2 linked regions of the Arabidopsis thaliana genome follow. The protein of the gene in region 1 purifies or fractionates together with the protein of each later gene. This does not show direct contact. Each region holds a gene or a part of one and is shown on either strand. Other genes may lie near its edges. The genes, in order: HB25 and AT2G24440.

Evidence for each region.
Region 2: the proteins of HB25 (region 1) and AT2G24440 fractionate together in Arabidopsis thaliana (co-fractionation; one large-scale study listed by BioGRID). This does not show direct contact.

Annotation. Positions count from the first base shown.
Region 1 is NC_003076.8:26,130,783-26,141,398, reverse strand, and holds HB25 (homeobox protein 25), read right to left. Parts: upstream 5,398-10,616; 5' UTR 5,221-5,397; coding exon 4,381-5,220; 3' UTR 3,845-4,380; downstream 1-3,844. Other genes in the region: AT5G65400 (alpha/beta-Hydrolases superfamily protein), read right to left, coding at 8,337-8,428, 8,557-8,658, 8,903-9,047, 9,277-9,318, 9,416-9,514, 9,673-10,005. UniProt on the Arabidopsis thaliana protein: Putative transcription factor.
Region 2 is NC_003071.7:10,385,295-10,397,532, forward strand, and holds AT2G24440 (selenium binding protein), read left to right. Parts: upstream 1-5,780; 5' UTR 5,781-5,829; coding exon 5,830-6,143; intron 6,144-6,427; coding exon 6,428-6,524; intron 6,525-6,642; coding exon 6,643-6,702; intron 6,703-7,117; coding exon 7,118-7,198; 3' UTR 7,199-7,724; coding exon of another isoform or gene 7,725-8,567; 3' UTR 8,568-8,640; downstream 8,641-12,238. Other genes in the region: NAC038 (NAC domain containing protein 38), read right to left, coding at 906-1,092; FLA3 (FASCICLIN-like arabinogalactan protein 3 precursor), read right to left, coding at 7,725-8,567; AT2G24460 (C3HC4-type RING finger protein), read left to right, coding at 9,217-9,669; AT2G24470 (filament-like protein (DUF869)), read right to left, coding at 10,534-10,769, 11,286-11,328.

The sequences.
Region 1 (10,616 bases):
GCAAAAAAGAGAAAGAAAATAAAACAAAGGAAAAACAGAGCTTTTTTTAATTGGTTCCCGCCAAATAAATATAGCGGGAAAAAACCGTATCGGTTCTGTTGAGCGTTAGAGTTGACCTTTTTTAATTCAAACGGTGCCGTTGTGAGATAAAGCGCGCATCGCACTAATGGGCTTAGAATTGGGCCCACGAACAGAAGTCTTTGACTTAAAGTTGACGTAAAGAGACCAAAGCTAGGTTGTGCTTTATGGAGCTTTTGCGTTTTATACCTTTTATCAACAAAACTCCAAAATCCCAATATTTTATTGAAAACTTTTTAACAAAAAATAAATAAAATGATTGGACTCCAGGTCCACTAAACCTCTAGGATCTGTAACTATGAAGAAAATGGGCCAATGCTATATTCATTAAATTTAATCATTTGGGTCTACCATTGTCGCATGGCATACTAGCAATTTGATGATCCTGAAATAAAATAATTGTGCGTGGAGATAATTTATGAAGATTTCCCCTTTTTGTATCATTTTTTAAATAGACATTTTTAATCTGAAAAGGTTAAAAAAAAGTCTCTATACATCATTAAACAAGTCGGTCTAATCTTGTGAAATAGTTGTGTAAGAAAAAAACTTAAATTATGTATTAACAAATGCTAGTTGGTATATATTTTCTTTAAAATAATTACAATTTTAACTCATAACATTTGTTGTATTCAGTTATTTTCTATATGTCTCAATAATCAATAAAATAAATAATGTTAGTAATAACCATCATGTAATTGGTGAATGTGAAAGATCATCTGTCATTGAAAACTTTGTGAATATGATTTTATCACTGCATATACTAGACTTTTAAATTTATTTAGCTTTTCACTAATTATATTAATGGTGTTCAATTTTAGGATCCTAGACACAGTCAAAATTAATCTTCACGGAATGATATATATATATATATATATACGTACATAATTATATGTCTGTGTACGATTGTGTGAAAATTTTGAAATGAAGAAACTATTTGGAGTTGGACAGAGGACTAAGTGAAGACAACAATACAAAACAAATAAACTTTTATAATTCTTTCATTGGGCTTTGTCATAATGAGTCGTCACAGTCATTCAACTGTCCAAATTATATATTTTTTATTTTCCCTGAAATAAAAGTTGCTAAAAGTTATAGCTTCTAAACTTTTCTCAACCTTTGCCTTTTCTTTTACATATGAACTAAAGAGAAAATACTTTTCCTTTTTTTCCCAACTATTAATTTGTATTAGATTAGCAAATTCAACTAAGATGGTACAAACCATCCCACTAGACCCAAATACAAATCTAAAATATTTTTCCTTTCGTATAAAGAAAAACAAATTACGTATTTAAGAATTCCATACAATCGTAAAATTCTTTGAATCATGGTACGACATGACTAATTAACTACATATCTAAGAATAAGTAAAAATTGAAATGTAAAGCAGGAAAGAAAAAAAAAATTATTCATTGCACGTGAATCATCATCAGTTTCCCAAATTAGGGCAATGTTTATGAAGCTAAGAGTATGCCCATATCATATAGTTTAAAGAAATATAAAACCCTAACCCTAGCTTGTCCTACTAACCCTAGCTTGTCCTACATTTAAATTTACGCAATCAAAATAAAGCTTTTTACTTTTTCATATTAAAAAACTACTTGTTTCGAAACTTAGCTTGAAAGGGAGGTAATAAACCCTGCTTGCGGGTCACATTTAGATTCCCTAAATGAAGCATAACGACAGTAACAATTCCACAGTAAAAACACTGTGAGAATGATGATGATGGTGATGATAATGATGATGATGATGATATAAACGTATACACTCATATAATATATGTATGGTACATAATATACACATTGATGGGTCGTTGTCCGATGGGTTTCTGCGTATTGACTGAAAGATTCCATGAAGAGGACCACAGTAAAATTAAAAAATCATGTTTAAATAAATAGTATTATTATCTGATCAAAATATTATGCTCCTCAATAATTTCAATTTCACCATACATCCAAAAACAACCCTAAAATTCATTTACTTAACTACTTTTCTTTTTTTGATAAATTAACTTAACTACTTTAATTTTCACTACTTTCTATGAACATTTATTACAAGTTCAGACTCCAACGTATGGTACGAACATTTCTCATTACTGCATCAGCGAGTAAACATTTCTCCCCTCTGAATAAAGTCTATAATCATAATATTTATACATGTCCTCATCATTATTTCTCTTATAACTCGATTTATGAAGCAATGTAGACGAAATTAAAATTTCTAGCAACTAAAAGTTATACGTAAAATTACGATCTAACTTAGCCAAGATTTGTATTAAAGTTCAACTGAATTATTGAATTTTCTAACGAATTAGATATTGTTCGGTTGAGCTAACTGCGTTTTATTTGCGAAGTAACTGAAACTTTGGTCCATGCAACTATAATCATTATTTTCAAACAAGTGTTGATCGAAGTTTAAATTCGATCCGATTCATTAGCCATATCAATGAACTAATTGAGGTAAACGCGTTTGAAATTTGTGAAAACTAAATTTTGGACCAAAAAAGAAAGAAGGGAGAAAATGAAAGAGGACCACAACAAAGTCATCTTCACTCTAGGAGTGTGCAGCTTTAGCTTGGACAAGAATGCGTAGAGATTGCCTTATCAAGCAAAAGCATCTCTCTCAAGTCTCTTCATTTGTGTGTATATTTGTCTCTCTCTCACTCTCTTTCGAGTTTTACTGCACTGTCTGAGGGAGAGAGAAAAAGAGAGAGATGATGGAGAGGTTGAGACATGAAAAGCTATATATGGAAATGGCCGTGAGATGGGGACTCGAATCTTATCTGCCTCTTCTTTCCTTTTACAATCATTTTGGTTCCCTCTTTCCTCTGCATCTTTGCATTTCACCATCACTCAAAACCCTAATTTCATCTGAATTCATTATCTTTGTTTCTCTCAGGTATACGATGTAAGATAGAGAGATATAATGTATGTTCATATGTACACATACCTTAGTCAATAAATTTTTCACAAACACACTTTGCATAAAATAAATTACTAGGCCGAACCACTTTTGTTAATTATAATTACTGTAACTCGTTGAAATTGATATTGTTATTACTACTAAATGATTATGGAACCAATTGAATATGTTTTTGCTCGATTAAATTGAATGTTTACTACTCAAATTAAATTATCATTAGAGGTGAAATAAGTGAATGAGTGATCTTAAGAAAAAGTAAACAAAATTAGTTCCAGATGAAAGTCTAGGGATTTGGAAGAAGAACATCATTAATGCAGTAATGTATGTGTGCCCATATGTTTTCCTATCTTCTCCTTCTTGCTTCCAAAGAAGCCCACATGTTTCCTTCTTCCCCAGATCTTCAAAGAACAATATACATATACATATAATATAAGACATAAAGAGGATATAAGAAGCTTTGGATGCATCGACATGTTTTGAGTTTAATTTTTTTTTTTTTTTTTAAGTGAAGAATTAATTCCCAGGAATCAGAATACTGTTGCCGCAGCTAGCTGATGTTATTTCACCTTTTTCATTTCCAATGGAAAAAAAAAATTATTTAATTCACGCATATATGATAATAATATAAGCCATTGAAATACTTATTTAATTCTTAGGGCAGAGATCTCCATCCCAAGGAAATTCCGACCGATCCACATTTGAGTCCTACACTCATTGGACAATTAAATGACAAGTATATATATATATATAGAATCCCACATAAGATATAATTATGACAATAACCAATTTATCATTAGATATGTGTGGTAAAAAATGATCAAGAAAATATATAAACACTCAAAAACCTAGAACTTAAGAAACAAGAACACTATCAGATCTAGCTAGCTACAAATGTGTGTGTGGGTGAAAATAATGGTCAGTCAAATATAATAACACACAAAAACACCAGGAACTTAAGAAACAATATATAACAATGTCAACAAGTAAAAGCTTAGGCTGCACAAAATAAAATAAAAATGAAATCATATGCTAAAGAAGACATAAATAATGCATACACAAAATACATGTACATATATATTCAGGATCAAGTTCATATAGATTCATACACAAAACATGATAAATTCAAACACTGACAAATGTGATGCAAATAAGGACGTCAGTAATTTATAGTCAGACCAATCAAAGATTTTGCTAAGAGACTTAAAAAGCTACTAATGCAAAACATAATTAACCAGAAATTAAAGATCATCACCAACATCATCAACATCATCATCAAAGAGGAAAATGGGTACATAAATTAAACAATAAAAACCTTGTCTCTCAAATTTCTCAAGTAATTAATTAAGCTAAATTAAAACCCTAGTGATCAAAGAAATTCAAGATTCATGGTTGGTCTTGTTCATGATGAAACGAAGACTGTGGTGGTGGAGGAGGAGGAGCCTGATGATGATGAAGTGGTGAAGGCGACTTACCAAGAGTGTGTTTGTTGTTATGTAACCAAACCTTAAGAACTTGTCTCGGAACACCAGTCTCCTGACAAAATCTCTGAATCACTTCATCGTCTTGTCTCTGAATTCTCCATCCAATCCTCTCAGCTAAAGCTAACATCCTTTCCTTTTGCTCAGCCGTAAACTTAGTCCTATGCCTCTTCCTAATCCCTCCTCCTGCTTCAGCTGAAGACGTCTCCATTGGATCTTCTGATCTCTCTCTTTGTGGAGGGGGAAGAGCGAGCTGAAGAGGAGGAGCTTGTGACGGTGGTGGTCGGTAGCTAACCGGAGCTGGAAGACGGTAAAACCCTGGCGGGGGAGGAGGAGGCTGATGTTGTGGCGGCGCGTGATGGAAGTAAGGTAATTCCTTGCGGTGGAAGTTACGGTGACAGCCACAAGCGGCGCATTTTAGAGCGTCGATGGTACCTTCGATTCCAGCTGGCATAAACTCACCACAACCATCGACCGCGTGTCCTCCTATGTTCACCGCTTGGTTCTTGAGACACTCACGGAACCTAAACCTGCTCCCTCCACCGCCGTGAACAACCATGAATCCTCCGCCACCGCCTGTGGAAGTAGTTCCGGTGGTTTCATGACTTTCTGTCGAGGCTTTGGGGAGAACACGAGAGAGAGGAGGAGAGTCGTAAACGGCGTCGTCGTCTTCTTCTTCCTCATGAAGATTCATATCCTCTTCTTGCTCTTCGTCGTTGTTGTTGTTGTTGTCTTCAAACTCCATTCAAGAAGTCGAGAAATGTGAAACTACGTCGTTTTTGGGGAGAGGAGGTTTCTCAAGAAGGTGAAGAAGAAGAGAGAGATAATGTGGACATTAAAGAGATTATCTTTCTCTCTTTTATCTCTCTCTTTTGGATTTGCCGATTTGAGAAGTGTTTTTATTTTATTTTTATCTTTTATTTTTGCTATATAATTTCTTGTTTATTGGAAATCGGAATCTAATATAATCTGTCCTCAACCACACTTTGTAACGCTTTCTTTATCTTTTGCATTATTTCTTTCTTTCTTTCTAATTTTACTTGAAGAGCTATTATACTTTCTTATTAATTATATATTCCTATTATTTTATTCAATTTGGTCGTATCGCTCTGACCATGCATGATTTGTTTTAGTCAACTATTCTTGTATTAGATCACAAATTTTAACCATGTTTATGATATAAAAAGACACGTTAAAAAGAAATTGATTTGAGTTCGTGTTTACTTGATTCCATTTACTGTTTATTTTTTCCTGGGTTATTACTTAAAGTTGTAAAGATTGTTACCTACATGTGAAAATTGAACGAAATATTACTAATTTTCTTCTAAAAATGACACACTAAAAACTTATTTATGTAATCTTGAATTAAAATGATATAATTAAACATGTTTGTCTTCTTCAGGAGTAGTTCTAGGGCTCATCTTAAAACACACTAGGTAGCTTATGGGTTTTACAAGTTTTCCATAAGCTTTTGTTATTTTTGGACAATACAACAATACAAAAAGCTTAGTGTAGGATTAAAAAACAAAAAGAGAGAGGAGATGATATTAGAGATAACTTTTTGGGAAACTAAAAAAAAAGGGGATAGAATCAAAATAAACGCGATAATTATTTTTGTCCATATGCCAATAGCATAAATATATGCATTAATATTTTTCTGCAATAAAGTGATGGGCAGTCTAATCACATCAAAATCAGTAATGCCCTTAATAATTTCAAGGTCTGAATTTTGTTGTCAACTTTTCAGAATTATTACTAAATAATTCAGTATAAATATATAAACACTAAAATAAAACTTTATTTAGTTTTATTTTGTGTCATCAAGTAAACAAAAGTTTAATGATACATTAAATACTTGTAGATTAGTTGCAAATGTGAAGACGAAACGTATGAGATGATCATTTCTCAGCCTCTGATTAACTTATGCTGACGTTAGATCTCCGACGACAGTTTTTATCCTTTCACTATGCTTTTACTGTTTTCTTTAAACGACCAGCACTATTATATACTCATATAACTGAGTATTATTTTTTTAACGACTAGTCTCTTCATTAATTCAGTCGAGGGTCATTGGTCTTGTCAACACAAAATTGCATGATGAATTTACGTAAGTTATTTGTGAGAAATATAAAAAATTTGTTGACGTAGCTAATTAAATTTAAAGAAAAAACATACTATGGAGTATTTTCTTTAAAGAAATATTAGCATTGGTATACGAGAATTCGAGAAGGAAACCAACATTCGCTCTCATCAATATTCAAATATTTCCAATCTTATAAAACAATAAAAAGTTGAAAATGAAATAATTTTTCAATAACCAGATTATGATGATTTAAATTAAAATTATACTATAAAAATACAGCTGACCGTTCCTTCAGAATAATAGTATAATAAAATAAAAGTAACATCTGTGTCGCATCAACAATAAATGCGAATGTTTTTGTACGGCTCAAATTTCAAAGCAGAGATTAAGATTTAAGAGTGAATAATGAAAACTCATTTGACATGAACAAAAAAGTGTAATTTTTATGTTACAAGAAAAATAAAGATCTGAAAATATATAAAACACCGACTAAATATTAATAAGAGGAGGAAATGAAGCAAATGGATTCCTGAAAGACGTTTGAGATGACGTGCTTACGTGTTACTTGTCAGCTGGCGGGAAACCGCTTTCCTACGTGGAGACACACAGAGGATTTGTCTCCGTTCATTATTCGTAAATCATCATAACGTTACATTTCTTACTAAACCGAATTTCAAAATTTCTTAATCTCAAAATTAGAAATCATAAATAGGTTACACAAAAACTTAAAGAGACAGAAGTAGTATTATCAAAAGAAACATGTAAAAACTATTCAACAGTTTTATGCCAGACATAATTCATGAGTTAATAGATTTCCTAAGTCAATGATAGGGTCTTTGAAATTCAATTTATTGCATATATCTATACATTAATGTTGATACGGTCATCACAATTCACAACTAGACATTCTCACGAGAAATTATTTTCTACCTCTTATTAAAATAGTGGTTTGGTATATCATGAGAACAGGGAAAACAACACAAAAACTAAACCAAACAACTATTTCAAGATATAAGCAAATTGTTGAAAATAGATTATGATGATGATTTGTTAAAAGTGCATGAAAACTAAACAGTTAAAGCTTTGCAAGCGTGAGAATACTTATGATGGGTATACATATAAGTCTGAAATTACACAACCCATGTCGACGTCTACTGTTTATCATATATTTATTTTGAAATGAGGGGTAATCATATGATCTGTAATTCGATATGTTCAATCAATTATTTCATACAAGAATAAAAAAAGAGTTGAAATTTTGTTTTTTTTTTAAGACTAGAAAGCAACCGACAAGGCTAAGTTAATAGGGTATAAGGGGGTAGATTGAAAAAGAAGTAAAACTTTGTTACAAGTGGAACTCATAGATTATCATGAGATCCATTTGACCATTAATACATCTAAAGGACAATAATTTAACTCACCTTCTTTGATGCCCCCCTCCATATTTTTTGTTCTTCCATCATTTTTTTTTTTTGTTGTTAAATTCTCCTAACATTTTTCCTATAACAAAGAAAAAAGTTTGAATAGAGTTTTTGATATTGGCTGCTCATATATTTAAAGGAAGACAATTGTACCAAACTATTTGACCATCTTTGGCTCTTCTCTATAAACTGTAATTACATGAACGGGCAATCCATATTGGTTGGTAAATTTAATAATTTACGTTTATTGAATTGTCCCTGGATAAAGACTAAACCAGAAGAATAATCACATCTCACAATTTTATAAAATTGCAAGATCATCTAATCTAAAGTAAACCATACTGGAGTAGCTCTCAGTCACATCAAGCTTCTTACAGAACCTGATTCATCAGAAAGCATCTGCCTAATGCTCTGGAAGAAACTCAACATTGTCTCCTCAGCTTTAGTATCTGCAGAAGACAAAGATAAGCTCATTAGAGTAAATTAAGAAGAGACAGATCTTATGTTACTTATTTCAATTGCATATTTCTCCAAAAAAAATCAGAGCTTAAATGATCAGCCTTTCATGCTTACTAACCGAGTTTTGGTATAATGTGTCCACCTGAATGATGGATCACCACTGGCTCTACGAATGATTCTACAAGCACTTCACCTTCTATCTTCAGGAAATCCCTCTCACCTGCAGCAAAACCGATACAGAATTACAAACAAGTTGTCTCTTATGTCATATCAAATGTTGTAGGAGAGAATCTCTAACGTTAACATGTAGTGCTGCAGATTAGATTCTAGTCTAAACACTCCCATGCCAATCTTGGCTACACTAAAGGCACACTACTAACGTAAGCTTCAAACAACAGAAACTTGGCATTACAACATAACCGAGAAATCAAGTCAAGAACATGCGCAACGTAGTAACAGTTTACCTATGAAGTGGAGTGATGGGCAACGAACTGGAGATGAGAATGCATTAACAGCAGCTTTAGGCTCCCCAAACATCAACCCTGGAATTTTCGCTCCAGAAATGATAACTAAAAACTTGACTTTTGGCACCTTAGTTAGAGCCGATCCCTACAAAACAGTTTACAACATCACAGACTTACTCAAACTATTAAAACAACATGTTTCATTCTTCAATTCAGATTCAACCTCTCTGTTGCATATAAATGGTTTCAACATCACACACTTGCTCAAAACAGAACAATAGAAAACTACTCTAACAATAGGTTTCATTCTTCAAAATATCATAAGCAGATTCAATCTCAGAACCAGGATTATGATCAGTTATGCAGTTATGTACCTGTTCTTGCATTCCAGGAATAGCTGCAGTTAGAAAAGCTCCCTGCAAGAATGGATCAAGAATCAACGGTCCACGATCCTCCTGCTGATATATATGAAAGTGATCAGTACTAAAATCTCGCCAAAGAATCAAAACAAACCTGAGAAAAACCAAGAAGACCATCAAAAGGTCCATTCTTTATCATGTAGTCCTCTATATAAGCCAAACACTCTTCAAAATTCCTATATTCCTTAAACCCCTGCAAACACACACACACACAAATCAAATTATGTATACAAACTTAGACCAAATCTCTCTGTTTTCTAGAGAAAAAAAACAACCTTTACTCTGATAGTGTTAACAGTGTCAATGATCAATACTGAATTCAAGGAAATTTAGGATTTTGTTGCAACGAACCTTGTTAGCCTGGTACCACTCGTAATACGGTGGGTCAAAGAAACGCTCGACGTCCGATTTCCCGGTGGCCGGAAAAGGAGCGTCAAGGAAATCGAGGTCGAGATCTCGGAGAATTGTGTCCGGCCATTTACCTATACCGGCTTGGAGAATCCGACCACTAGTTCTGAATCCATGAAGGCATAAAATTCTAGGGTTCTTCGGTTTCAGGTGAATTTCCGGCGCCATCGCCGTCGTTAACCGTAATCCCGTTTGGAAACAAGGATAGGAGTATCCTAACATCTGACAAGCTCTAGCTCTCTTCTCAGGTTTCGAATTGTCCTTGTGCCCTAACATATCGCTTGTCGCGAAAGTTTTGGTAGAAAGGCCCAAAACTCTATAGGCCCATAAAGAAGAATCCTTTGAAATCAGTTTCGCAAATATCGGCCCATATCATTGTTTATCTCTTATTACAAATATTTTCCAAACTTTCAAGAGTTACAATTACAAATAGATCAATATATATATAGACAATGAAAATTATGTATGGAGAAGCTTACTCGAAGAAATGAGAGTTTTCCACTAACAAAAAAAACTTGTATATTCATCATAATCTAACTTTTTTTTAGATAATCCAAATCATGCTTTAAATTATGTAAAGTTCAGTTAGAAGTGAATACATGTTGCTCTAAGAGTTACAACAACATAAAGCCAGCACAAAACTCATGCTTTAGCATTCTCTTCCCCTAAATAAATATATGCTTCTTGGCTATATATATTATTAGACACGCATATGGGACATCATGTTTTTTTTTTTTTTTTTTTTTACAATTATCAAGAAAATGGTTTGGAGTCGAGGTGGTCTTTCGGCAATTTTGACTGCAGCCGAAGCCAAAGATAAAGAAATTTCGACATTAAACCTCAACAGTTTTTTCATATGGATTCAAAGCAAACTACTATGTATAGAT
Region 2 (12,238 bases), on another chromosome or scaffold:
TTATGGATAGAACTAATTAAAGACAAAATAAGTAGATAAGAAATTAACGTACGTACGGTAGTGAATGCATGACTTCCGTTCATGCAACTAATGTTTGTTAGGAAACTTCATTGTGTGACTTTCTATTTTAAAGATATATGCTTACTATTTTTTTAAATCACCGAGTTTTTTTTTTCTCACAGAAACTTAAACTATTACATAGACTTTTTTTTTCTTGGATTGATATATATATATATATATATATATATTCCAAAGATTAACATTTAGTATACATCTAGCCTCCGTTCGATAAGCTCATGTCTATAAGCTTATATTTAGTACAAGAAAAGAGTTTTGTAGATTGTGGATGTGATATCTAACCGGTGTACATTTTTTTTACACTAACTGACTTACGATTAGTACGTCGCCAAGAATGTACTCATGATATTATGGCATTTTCATTAGGCAAAAAATATAGATAGTGGGTGTTATGAACTTTTAAATGCTTCCCAAAATAGAAAGATCATTTAACATGAACACTATGTTTTCCGTTTAAATACACACACATTTATGTGTTATGTGTGTACAAGTAGTATATCCATATACACATCCATGCGCACACACACAAACACATATATATGGTTCATTTAAGTCATGTTACTCATGTGTGTATTAGTTGTATATGTGTAAAGATATCCAAAGCAATAAGCAATATGCATATATAAAGACACATATTCCTTTGGATATCTTTAAATCCAAATAATATAGGTCTTACCAAATTTTAAAGAAATCAAAGATATATATCAATATATATATATATTATATATACATGTATCGACATAGGAAAAAAAATATGTTTATTCATACATGTGATCTTTTAATTTGTGTGTGTCTACGAATAAGAGACTTAAGATAAATTAACGTACCAGGAAGCTCCCATGGCTCGGACTTGTTAAGATCAACGTCAGCGATTGCTTTCCCGGTGAAGTTTTGATCGGCAATCTTATTAACCAAGTAATATGAGATTAGCTCCTCATCCGTCGGATGAAATCTGAAACCCGGTGGCAAAGCTTCTTCTTCTTTCTTATGCTGCTGATGATCTCCTTGTTCCATTTTATATGATCTTTAGTTTACTCCAAATCCAAGAACCTTTTTATACCTGCTTAAAACACATAGTAACAAGTCTAAGTTTCACATAGATCCTAGCGTTCTACAACTGTTTATCCATAAGACAAAGGTATTAAAGGAGGAATTCGAAAGAAGAGAGAATAGTAAAAGATCGATATATATGTATGATATGTATAGGGTGAGAAATTGGGCTTACTTGTATAGATGAGGAAAAACCAGACAACTAAAACTTTTATGAGATTAGGGTTTTGATGGTATTTATATATCATGAGACAAGGATGACTTGCGACTATTCTTAGGAGGAAAAAGATGAAGGAAGACGACAAAGAGTAGGGTTTTTTTCTTCTTACTTTATCGTGAATGGGATTAAAAAACAATTACGCTAACACGGTTTTGATTAATTTATAAATACATACACATATTTATCAATTCTAAGTTTTGTTAGCATATTTAGAAAACCCAATTACCATCTAAGTTTGAAAGACATAGAATTTTCAATAAGACGCTGTAAGAATATAATTTACATTTCAGTGTTTATGTGATTGTTTATAAATAATTAAATAACATTACTATTGTATGGGGTAGAAATTATTATGTAGAAAAGGGAGGAAAATGTGGAAGAGAGTGTGTGCATGAAGCTCTCACCTAATAAGGGTCTTCAAGTACAAGGTACATGCAGCTAAACCTCACACGTCCAAATTTTATCCTTTGTTTATTTTGTGTAGTTGGTCAAGAAATTCTCCTTTTAGGACCCTTATTAATTCATCTTAGCTTATACATATATACAGATATACTTATACACACACCCACATGTGTATATTCCCTATATATATGAATGAACTATGTTGGTGTTAAGAACGGAAAAAAAAAAACCTTATGTTGGTGTTGGTGTCGGATCACGCACGAGCCGGTCCGTTTTGTTGCTAATTACGACTCCCAAAAAAAATCATATGTTTGGTTTAGGGGTCAATGGTCGATGGTCAAAGAATCAAATGGTTTATATGATTTAATTCAAATATAAAATGGTCATGAATAACACATCAAATAAAGAAAGAAGGAAGACTACCCATATATATGGACTATGGATGGATCCAAGTTTTCTCACTGTCTTTTCCACGTGAACAATTTTGTTCCAAATATTAGCTATTCTTCTATATAATTAAACACAATAAAATATTTACTGTTTTCCCAAAAATAAATTACCAAAAAAGGACACATAATAATTAATGACAATTTTATTTTTTGACTTTTTTTTATTTTGTCCATTTATGTTTTTATTTTATTCGAGTTGGTATATATTCACAAAAAAATTGATTATTCACAACTTGATCACGTATCTGTTGAGAATCAAATTAAAGACCTCCAAAGAAAAGAGATTTAATGGGAAAAAAAAACTCCCGATGTGACTGTAAACTCTTCTCCTCAACAAAACTTGTGACATTTTTGTTACCTCGACAAGAAAAAAGAAGAAGAAGAAGAGAAGTTATGCTCGCTGAGTGCAAGCGTTGAGTTTTCTTTTCAAGTAGATATATCAGTTTGTTGAAAGTAAGTGTTGAGTTTACGTTTAATTGGAAAGTGAATTTTAGCTTGCTAAAATTAAATGTTGCGTTATCTCTTCGCATATAAATAGATTGCAGTTCTGTGGATGTAATTTTGAGTTCTATCTTCACACAAAAATAATTTAGCTCGTTGAGGCTGTTTTGAGTTCAATCTTCTTAGAAAAGTACTAAGTATTGAGTCATCTCTTCCGCTCAAGACCGCAAAATGACCAATGTTAGTTCCATATATAATATATCTAAGATCAGATATGGATGAGTTTGCGTGTGTGTAATTTGAGTCTCCTTCAATTATCTTAAGGATTTCATGTGATCATTCAACAACCCGCTGATTAATTCGCTCCAACACAAATACATATTTGGAAATCAACCTAGCATTTTAGGTACCCTCACTTCAAGATCATTTTGTATAAACGTAATATATAATCATTCTTTACGGTCCAAATATTGCGGACACATTGTTGGTTTTCTTCCAAACTTTTTCCGACGTCTTGTCCTAATATATTGATTTTGCCCGACAAAAAAAAGGTGTATAGAGTAATTAATCAATGGAAACCTAACATTTAACTTTGAAGTTTTGAAATTCCGGTTTGACTGACTAGTGGTAGGATAGAAATAACTTGAAACAAAACAACAACATAACTTAGAAAGATTTAGATTCATATTCTCATAATTAGAAGAAAAAAACTAGCTTAGACTCCGACTATACATCGTCAAAAGTACATGGAATAATTGAACAATAGGGCTTACTAGATATTTAATATTAATAAAATAAAGAATTTGAATCAACAGTTATCGCAATTATCACTATAAGAAGTACCATTGTATAAACTATATTGTTGCTCAAATTTTCTTTGAAATACGATAACATTTTATTTTATTACCAAATGAAACATGCCAATTTTGAAAAAAAGTCATGCCAATTATACCATGAGAAGATATATTATAGTATATCTTCCCACATATTCTTATATTTCGTAGTCTTCCAGAAAATGTAGTAGGTTTAACTTATCAAACACTTCAAGTAAGAAAATGAAATGCGTCTTTAATCAACGACGAATGTCCCGATCATTAGAACCTACCGTTCTTTGTTCATTTTACCTCTAATGTTTCCTACGAAGCTACCATTATTACGTAGATAACCATTTTTTATTAACAAAATATGTAAAAGATTGTTATAATCTGTTTACAGTTCAACTTTTTCAAATGTTAGGATATGCTCACCCGTACAAGAAATTACGACACATTTATCTCATCATATTATCTTTCGCGTATATGATTGGGCAAACATTCTCACTAATCTAAAGCAAATTTGAATGATCTAGTTTTAGAAAAATCCGAACCATGCATGTTAATAGAAAATATTCACTCGAGAGCCTTTAAAATTTTGAAAATCTCATTTTATATGAAAACGACCTTCTTTTTTTTTACTATGATTGTTGATTAATTGGGTTTATTTTTGCATCATATAGCAGCTTCAATTTTTTCTTCTTTTATTTCCAATATACTTTTTTATTTTATCTAAGTGATACATAACCTTTTTAGTGTTAATACATCTTAATTTAGTCATTATGAAGATTGCATGACAGATCTACAAAACTTCTTACAGTGACGTAGACGTAGTTTGATTAATTTTAATACATATTTGTTTTGGTAACACCTACAAACTTCTTACAACATGATCCACCGATGACCGATGTGTGAATGTGAACATTAACCGATTTGTGTGAATATGAACATTAACCGATTTGTGTGAATGTTCACTATATGCATGGACATTCATCAATATCCCAAAGTTACTTTATCGTGTACGTATACTTTATATCGATATATATCTACTTATTATGCACTTTTATTTAATTTCATAAAATTTTGTGCACTTTAATTTCTTTCTCCATCATTTTGATTTTCAGAAAAAAGAGCATGAATCAGTTATTTAGTCCAAAAAGATTGTAATTTTACAACACAAAAATGCTCCCAATATAAGTTTAAGAAAGTATCATCCCACTATATTTTACTTCAATTGTAGTTTTGAATTTTTCGTTTGTATGGAGTTGTAGCATATTTTTATAATCTTAAAACAATCTCATATAACTTTGTGGTGGTGAGTGGGTCATTTGACCCCAAATTTTTTTTTATTTTATGTTATTTAAGGTTATAAATAAATTAAAAAAAAATAGCATGGAGTCAATTAACCCACTCACCACAATTTAGCTCTACATGTGATTATATACTACCCGAGTTACCAATATTTCATATACATGTCGACATTTACATCAACATGTATATGAAATATCGGTAACTCATAAATCACTAGTAAATTACAAGTTGATATAAACATATCTACTTAATCGAGAAAATGACACATTCATGGAAGAAAGTATTGATTTGATGCGGAATTCATGCTTGGTATGCTACTTGTAACACACTTCAAATATAATTCTGGTATTTTTACCGTACGATAATCAATAAAAGTCTTTGATTTTGATTTGTAATTTGTCTTTATCTAAATTTAATAAATCTTTGCACAAATTTGCAAGCAACAATCTTTCGAGATGGACACGTACCTAGTAGTCCAATCCCAACAGTATAGTATATATCGACTTAGGTGGTTAACTAATGACAGATTCCATTTCTTAGCTAAATTTTGTTTTTAACCTATTTGGCTATTTTATGTTTTGACTCTTCGAATACTCCCTATGTTCCAATTTCCAAGTAGTCTTGGACTACTCTTGGCTTGTTTAAGGTCTTTTCATAATCATTAACTATCTTCTTTTAAGTATGTTTTACTAATCCTGAAACGTTTTCTTTCCACTGATTAATCAGCAACTTCTGCAACGTTTTCTTTCCATTGATTGACCCAAACAGCATGTTGTGCTAATCTTTAGAAATAAAACGTCACGATGTGTTATACTGATGATCACTTAAACACACGCCTTTTATTATCACAGCGACCATAATCGAACAGTGTCAGTGTCTTTATTATTCATCAGTTAATCTTGACTGTCCATTAAAAATTTGATGACGTGTCCTTCCAAGGTAACTTTTAACCTTCTAACGTCTTTTTAACTAAAGTAAAAGTAAAAATATAAAAAAAGTGAAATATCTAGAGAGAGACAGAGAGCCCATTTGGTGCGGAGGTTGACAGAGCTTTAGTTCCGTACAAATGGCGAGTAAGAAGGTTGACGGAGAAGGAAAAGGGAAAGCTATAGCGAATACGAGGATGCTTCGAAGCATGGATCGAAAGACTCGAAGCGATACTAAGCGAGATGGTTCTTCTTCTAAGCTCATGAAGATCGAATCTCCGGAGAAGAAGAAACGGAAGACGACGAAAGCGAAGAATGTTGGAGCTGCGAAGAAGAAGGTAAAGAAAGAAGAGGTAGCTGTGAAAATCGAGAAAGAGGAGGAGGAAGATGATGATGCTGCAGAGAAAGAAGAAGATGACGACTCCGATAAGAAGAAGATTGTGATCGAGCATTGGTAAACGAAATGTCTCTCTCGGCTTTGGTTTTTTTCTTTTAGAGTTTCTGGAGAAAATTGGGGGAAAATGTAGTAGCGAGTATTTAGGGATTTTGTTCTCCGATATTGAAGCTAATCTTTGGTTTTGTACACAATGTGTCATTCGCCTATATAATTGATTCAATTTCGTTGCTTAGGTTGAAATGTGATCTATTATCGTATTTGGTTATGTTTCTTAGTGTGGTTTTGATTGATGTTAGGTTTCGTTATGTTGCTGATGTTTGTTTGTTGTTGTTTTCCTGAAGCAAACAATGCAAATCATTCAAGGAGAGGGCTAATGAGGTGAAGGAAGGTCTAGAGGAAGCTGTTCCTGGCATCATTGTCACTGTGAATCCTGATAAGGTAGTGAATCTTTTGCTGCAGATGTATATATTTGTCATTGATGCTTGTTGTTTATGATTGTTTGTACCAATGTGTGCATTAATAAGCTAATTCTTTCCTTTTTGATCTGCTTTAACAGCCAAGGCGTGGTTGCTTTGAGATTCGAGAGGAAGGCGGCGAGACATTCATCAGTCTTTTGGTAAGTTTTTCACTCTCATACTTGAATGTAGTATGCCAGTTAGTCGCACTTATGTGAGTGACTTGTTCCAGTTGGATTGATGTTTCTCGTCGTGTCTGTATCTATTCGCATAACATAGTTTCTTTGATGGTATACTTTAAAAAGTGAAAATCAACTTTATTTTCTTAAGCTCACACGAAATTGAGGCTATTTTTGCTGAGTCAACTGATCACCAATGAGGTTTTGTTAGAGCATTCATAAAATGGCCTTTGGTTGTTTGCTTTTTAACTGAATCAAGTTGAGTGCTAAGTTGTTTGAAATAAGAACAAACTAGCAGATCTGATTGTTAGTGACTAGGTGTACAATAAGAAAATGTTTGCTTTCATGTTCTTTATTCTCAGATGTATATAGAAGATGATGTGATTTTCTTATGTAGGCTATGAAGCGCCCATTTACACCGATGAAGGAACTTAACATGGAAGAGGTCATTGCGGACATCGTAGAGAAGATTAAGTAACACAGCTAGTAGGTTCTACCAATGCCGAGTCTTTCGTTTCCTCCTTGGCCCTCGGCTAATAGGCTTCAATATCTGACTATCTAGAGCAACTGCAGGATTTTTTAGGCTTAATTTTGATATATTGGTGAAAACCATTTGAGCACGGTTTCGTCGTTTGGTAGTGCTTGATCGGCTTTGTGCAGTTTCTTTATGCTAAAACTTCCTGATATATATGGGATTAAGTCTGTCTTCGTAATGCTAGTTTGAAGCAATTCGTTTCGTTTCATTTATTGTTGGATTGTGTTTGGCGTTCAATTACGTTACGGATTGGATGAATGAAGATAAAACATTTAGTTACAATGTGGTAATACAAGCTTCACAGGACAGAACATCACACTTTCATTGTCTAATGATAAATGATTGAGGTACAATAATGTGAGTAGAAATTGTTAGTGTCTTTGATCCACTTCGTATCACCATTGCCTCTGTCTATGTTCGAGTCTCATTATCAGTTTAATTTATCCTCGACTCGCTGTCTTAAATCATCTTAGAACCCAACAAAGCTAGCCACAAACCCGAGAACAAGGACAGCACCGAAGCTCAAACCGGTGTTAGAAGCAGAAGAAGGTGGTTCAGCCTCATCAGCTGCTGCCATCTTCTTCTTGCCAGACTTATCTGGAGCTGGAGCTGGAGAATCACTTTCTGATGGTGCAGATGCAGGTGCGGTTTCTGGAGCTAAACCAGGAGGAGCATCTGCATAATCCCCTTCATCAGCAGGAGCTGGAGCTGGAGTGGCTGCACCCTTCTTGGGAGATGGGGCCGGTGGTGAAGACATGGGTGGTGGTGGAGGAACCTTAACCGGAGACCCGAGTCCAGGTGCCACAATGGGCATGCTGATCTGGACCACAGAGAGATTGTACGGGTTACGGAAAACGGTTGTGATGTATTCAGCGGTTTGAGGAGCGCCTTTCACACCAGAACCAAAGTAAATCTTTCCGTTAGATTTGGTGCAGTTGAGGAAACCGTTTTGCTGTTGGCCCAAACCGGTGGACTGGTAAAGGGTAGTGAGCAATGTGCTCTTTTCCTTGAGAGCCTTGAGCTTAAGCTCATCAAAGTAGTCAAGAACCACATGGTTCATAAGAATGTTCTTGACCTCTTCCTCGGGTCTACCAGAGATGGAACCGATAGCATCGTTGTTAAGGGCCAGCACGGTGATGGTCTGACGTTTGTTGATAATTGGTGTGAGCTCGGTCTTGGCAAGAAGCTCGGTCATGGTGCTGAATTCAGGGTATTTCTCGAGCACTCGGGTTATGTTAACCGCTGATACAATGGATGAAACAGCGAGTAAGATGGTGAGACAGAGGAGAGAAGAGGAGACCTTGAGACCCATCTTTGGGTGTCTTTGTTTATTACCCTTATTATTCTATAGTAAAAGCTCAAACCTCAAAGCCTGAGTTTGCAATAAGAGGATCAGGTTGGGTATATATACAGACCTTAAGAGGAGCTCAAGATTAATGGTGGAGAGACATTTACTTATATTTGTTTTGGCTAAATTTGAACATGACTTTATTGTTACCTCTATATTTGGCTTTAGACTGTTTTATTTTTACCTTTGGTTCTGAGGTTTGCGTTATTGATACAGAGCCAACGTAGACAAGTCCATCCTAATCTTTATTAAGTCAATTCTTCAACAACTTGAGGTCCGAAGCTAGAATCAGGAAGTTGTGACAGGGTCATAGGATGTTTTATTTTATTTATTTTATTTTTGAAGATATGTTTTACCAACAAGAAAAAAGGAAATACAACAATAAAAATGCTTTTAAGAAGATAATAAGAAAGAAAGGACAATATGGAAGAAAAAAAAGGAAATTACATTAACGCGTTAGAACAAATTATCCTCAAGAGTTTTCTTGTTTATATAAACATAACATTACACCTTCACTTCTCCACAATTTCAGATTTCACAACAATCTCCTCTCCCATACGACTAATCTTTTCTCTCTATCTCTGAGTTTTGTCTAATTTCACTACGATCGACGATGGAAACTGAATCAATCAAACTCGATGTTCAAGTAACGACTACGTCTCAAGATCCGTCGTTAGGGTTGTTAAGCACGGTAATAATCACTCTTGACAGAGATCTGGAGGAATATGACGAGAATGTTGATAGCATCAAGAGCCTCGGATCTTACCCTGATTCTTCTACTCCCGACGAGTCACTAATCATTCTGAAACTCCCAACCTCCGAACCAGACTACATCTATCTAACTCTCCGTAGCAAACTCAAAGATCATCTCCACGATCATGTCTTGTCCGAAGAAATAGCTGATCAGATTTTCGAAGCCCAACTAGGAACTCAAAGTATTGATCAGTTTCCGTTTCAACAACCTTTATTCATGCTAGTCTCCGTCAAATTGACACAGAAGTTATACACCTACGCGCCTTGTAACGCTTCTCCGTTGGCAACAGATTTGACTAAGAGAGCAAAGTAGAAGAATCGAACTCGCATCTGTTTCATGAAGATTGTGTCGTTACTCATGTTCTCTGTGGGGAACCTGTTTACGAACAACAAGAGTCTAATTAGGGTTTTATTCGTGTGTCGCAAGTCTAAGTTTAGTTTTAATCTCTGTCGTAGACGTTTAAGATGCTAATTAGGGTTTTCTCATTGTCTATGTATTGATCTCAATACCTTTTTGTTGACAACATTCAATGCAGTTTACTTTAATAAAACTCAGAGTCTCAATTTGAAATTCACTTAAAAATTGTCATTACAAGTTTGATACTTGTATGATACACAACATTGATGTTAAAATCGAATTTTTATTCAGATAAAAGACAAGTGAACTTGAAGAACTAAAATTCAGATTCTCGAATTGTAATGCTTACATTACAAGTTTGTTTCTTGTTTTTAACAAAAATCTTGATTGGCAAGCAACATAAATTTTTATCTGAACCAAGAACAGTATTCGTTTAGAAAGATGAAATAAACAAGGAAACAATCTAATACCAGACTTAAGCAGGCGTTCATTGTTACGGGAAGCGAGATGTTCAGCAGAAATATCGGCCTCTGCGAAGTGTGTATTGTGAATTTGTGATTTTGAGACATGTTCCTATGTGCCTGAGGGTCTGTGAATTCATGCCCTAAGCTTTCAACTTCTATCTTCATCTGAGACATAGCAGCAGGACCATGAAGCTTCTTTTGTAGAAGCCTTCTTAGCCTTTGACACTCTTTTTCAAGTCTTGCAATCTTTTTCACACCTTCCAGATGCTGCTTATTTGCGATTTCCGCTGACTTCAAACTCATGTTTTTCTCTTCATTGTTGCGGATCTCAATTTCTCTCTCAGCAAACTGAAGATTAGTCTTTCAGCTTTTCCACATCAGCTTCAGCTTTAGACCTCTCCTCACTAATCTTTACTATCATCTCAGATCGTTCTTGCAACGATCTAGTGAGTGCTGCATTGTCAGAAGCTACTCGGTGAAGTCCTTGGCTCAATTCATCGATCTTTTCTTCAAGCATAGCTTTGATCTTTCCCCAGTGAGTGGTCTTAGCAAGAGTCACATCTTGCAGCTTCTGGTCACTCTTATCTGCAGCTTTAAGAGTGTTACAGATTCAAGTTGACGTTTAAGTGCTAAAGAACAAAAGACAAATCAGTAACAAAAACATCTTTAAACAGTCTGTATTTTCTAAATTTCTAATACTAACACACAAGAATTGCTCACATAACATCTCAAGAACTATGAAAGGTTTTGTGCTCTAACCTGAAACAGCTGCTTCAGCGACTTTTCCATGTTAAAGAATCATTCTTTAGTCGTAAACTCAGAGTAAGCATGATTGAGTCTTTCTTTAAGATTTAACTTCAACTTCAAATAATTTGGCCTGATCCTCTATTTTACTCATACGTGTGTATGACTCGATAGTTATCTGAACATAGTCTGTGTTCTTACACTTCTCCTGACAATCAAAACACAAAAGACTTACAAATGAAATTTATAAATTATCAAAACTGACACATTAGGACTACTAATCTCATATAAAAGCAGAGATCCTGATTCTCCAGAGAAGCTATAGGACATAGAACAAACAAGAGTTGACTCATTTCCAACAACCGGTTTCACAGTCGTGGCTTTGTCCCAAGACTTGCTCTTCCATGGCCAATCTTTTTGGTAGTTTTAGCTTCATTTTTTTGGTATATATATATATATAGATTAGTTTCGGTTTCGAATTTTACAGTTGGATTTAGGTGAACTATATTGGTTGGAAACTCCTCTTAAATTGATATATAGGATTAAATGTTTTACATAAGACCCTAAAACTTTCGATGATTGCAGCACATAAACCACTCTTTTCAAGTATGTTGAACACATTAGCGTTTTGGATAATCCAATTTTCTACACGAAAAGCAACTTTTCACTTGAAATATGTTTTTGCCAGCTTAAGTCAGAGAAAACATGAATACTATAGAGGTCTTTAAAAAGCATTTGATAAAATATTAGGTTGCTCCCAAGTAACATATAACACAATTAGCACATCAACATGATGATAACCAGAAAAAAAAAAAAAAAATCAAAGAGATTGTGAAATATCACAATTTATCTAACAATCTCTTTATTATTGTAACAAAATATATTTTGGTTATTAGTTAAAGTATTTGAAGAACTACTCTTGCCGTCTTCGGGACGCACGCAGTGGGCTAGTCTGGGCCCATTGGGCTTGGGATACCTGGGTTATCCAAAAAAAAATATATATATATATATATATATTTTGGTTATTAGTTAAAGTATTTGAGGAAAATCAAACAACACAATATAAACCGGCAAATTACAATAGGAAAAATGGTTTGGTTTAAGCACTCTGGTATAACGAGATGTTTTACCAACAAGAAAAAAAGGAAACAAGGTAATATGGAGAAAAGGAAATTACATTAACGGTTAGAATAAAGAAAGGAAATTACAATTAACGCGTTCGAACAATTATAATCAGAGTTTTGCTTATATAAACATAACATTACACATTCACTTCTCCACAATTTCAGATTTCACTACAATCTCCTCTCTCATCT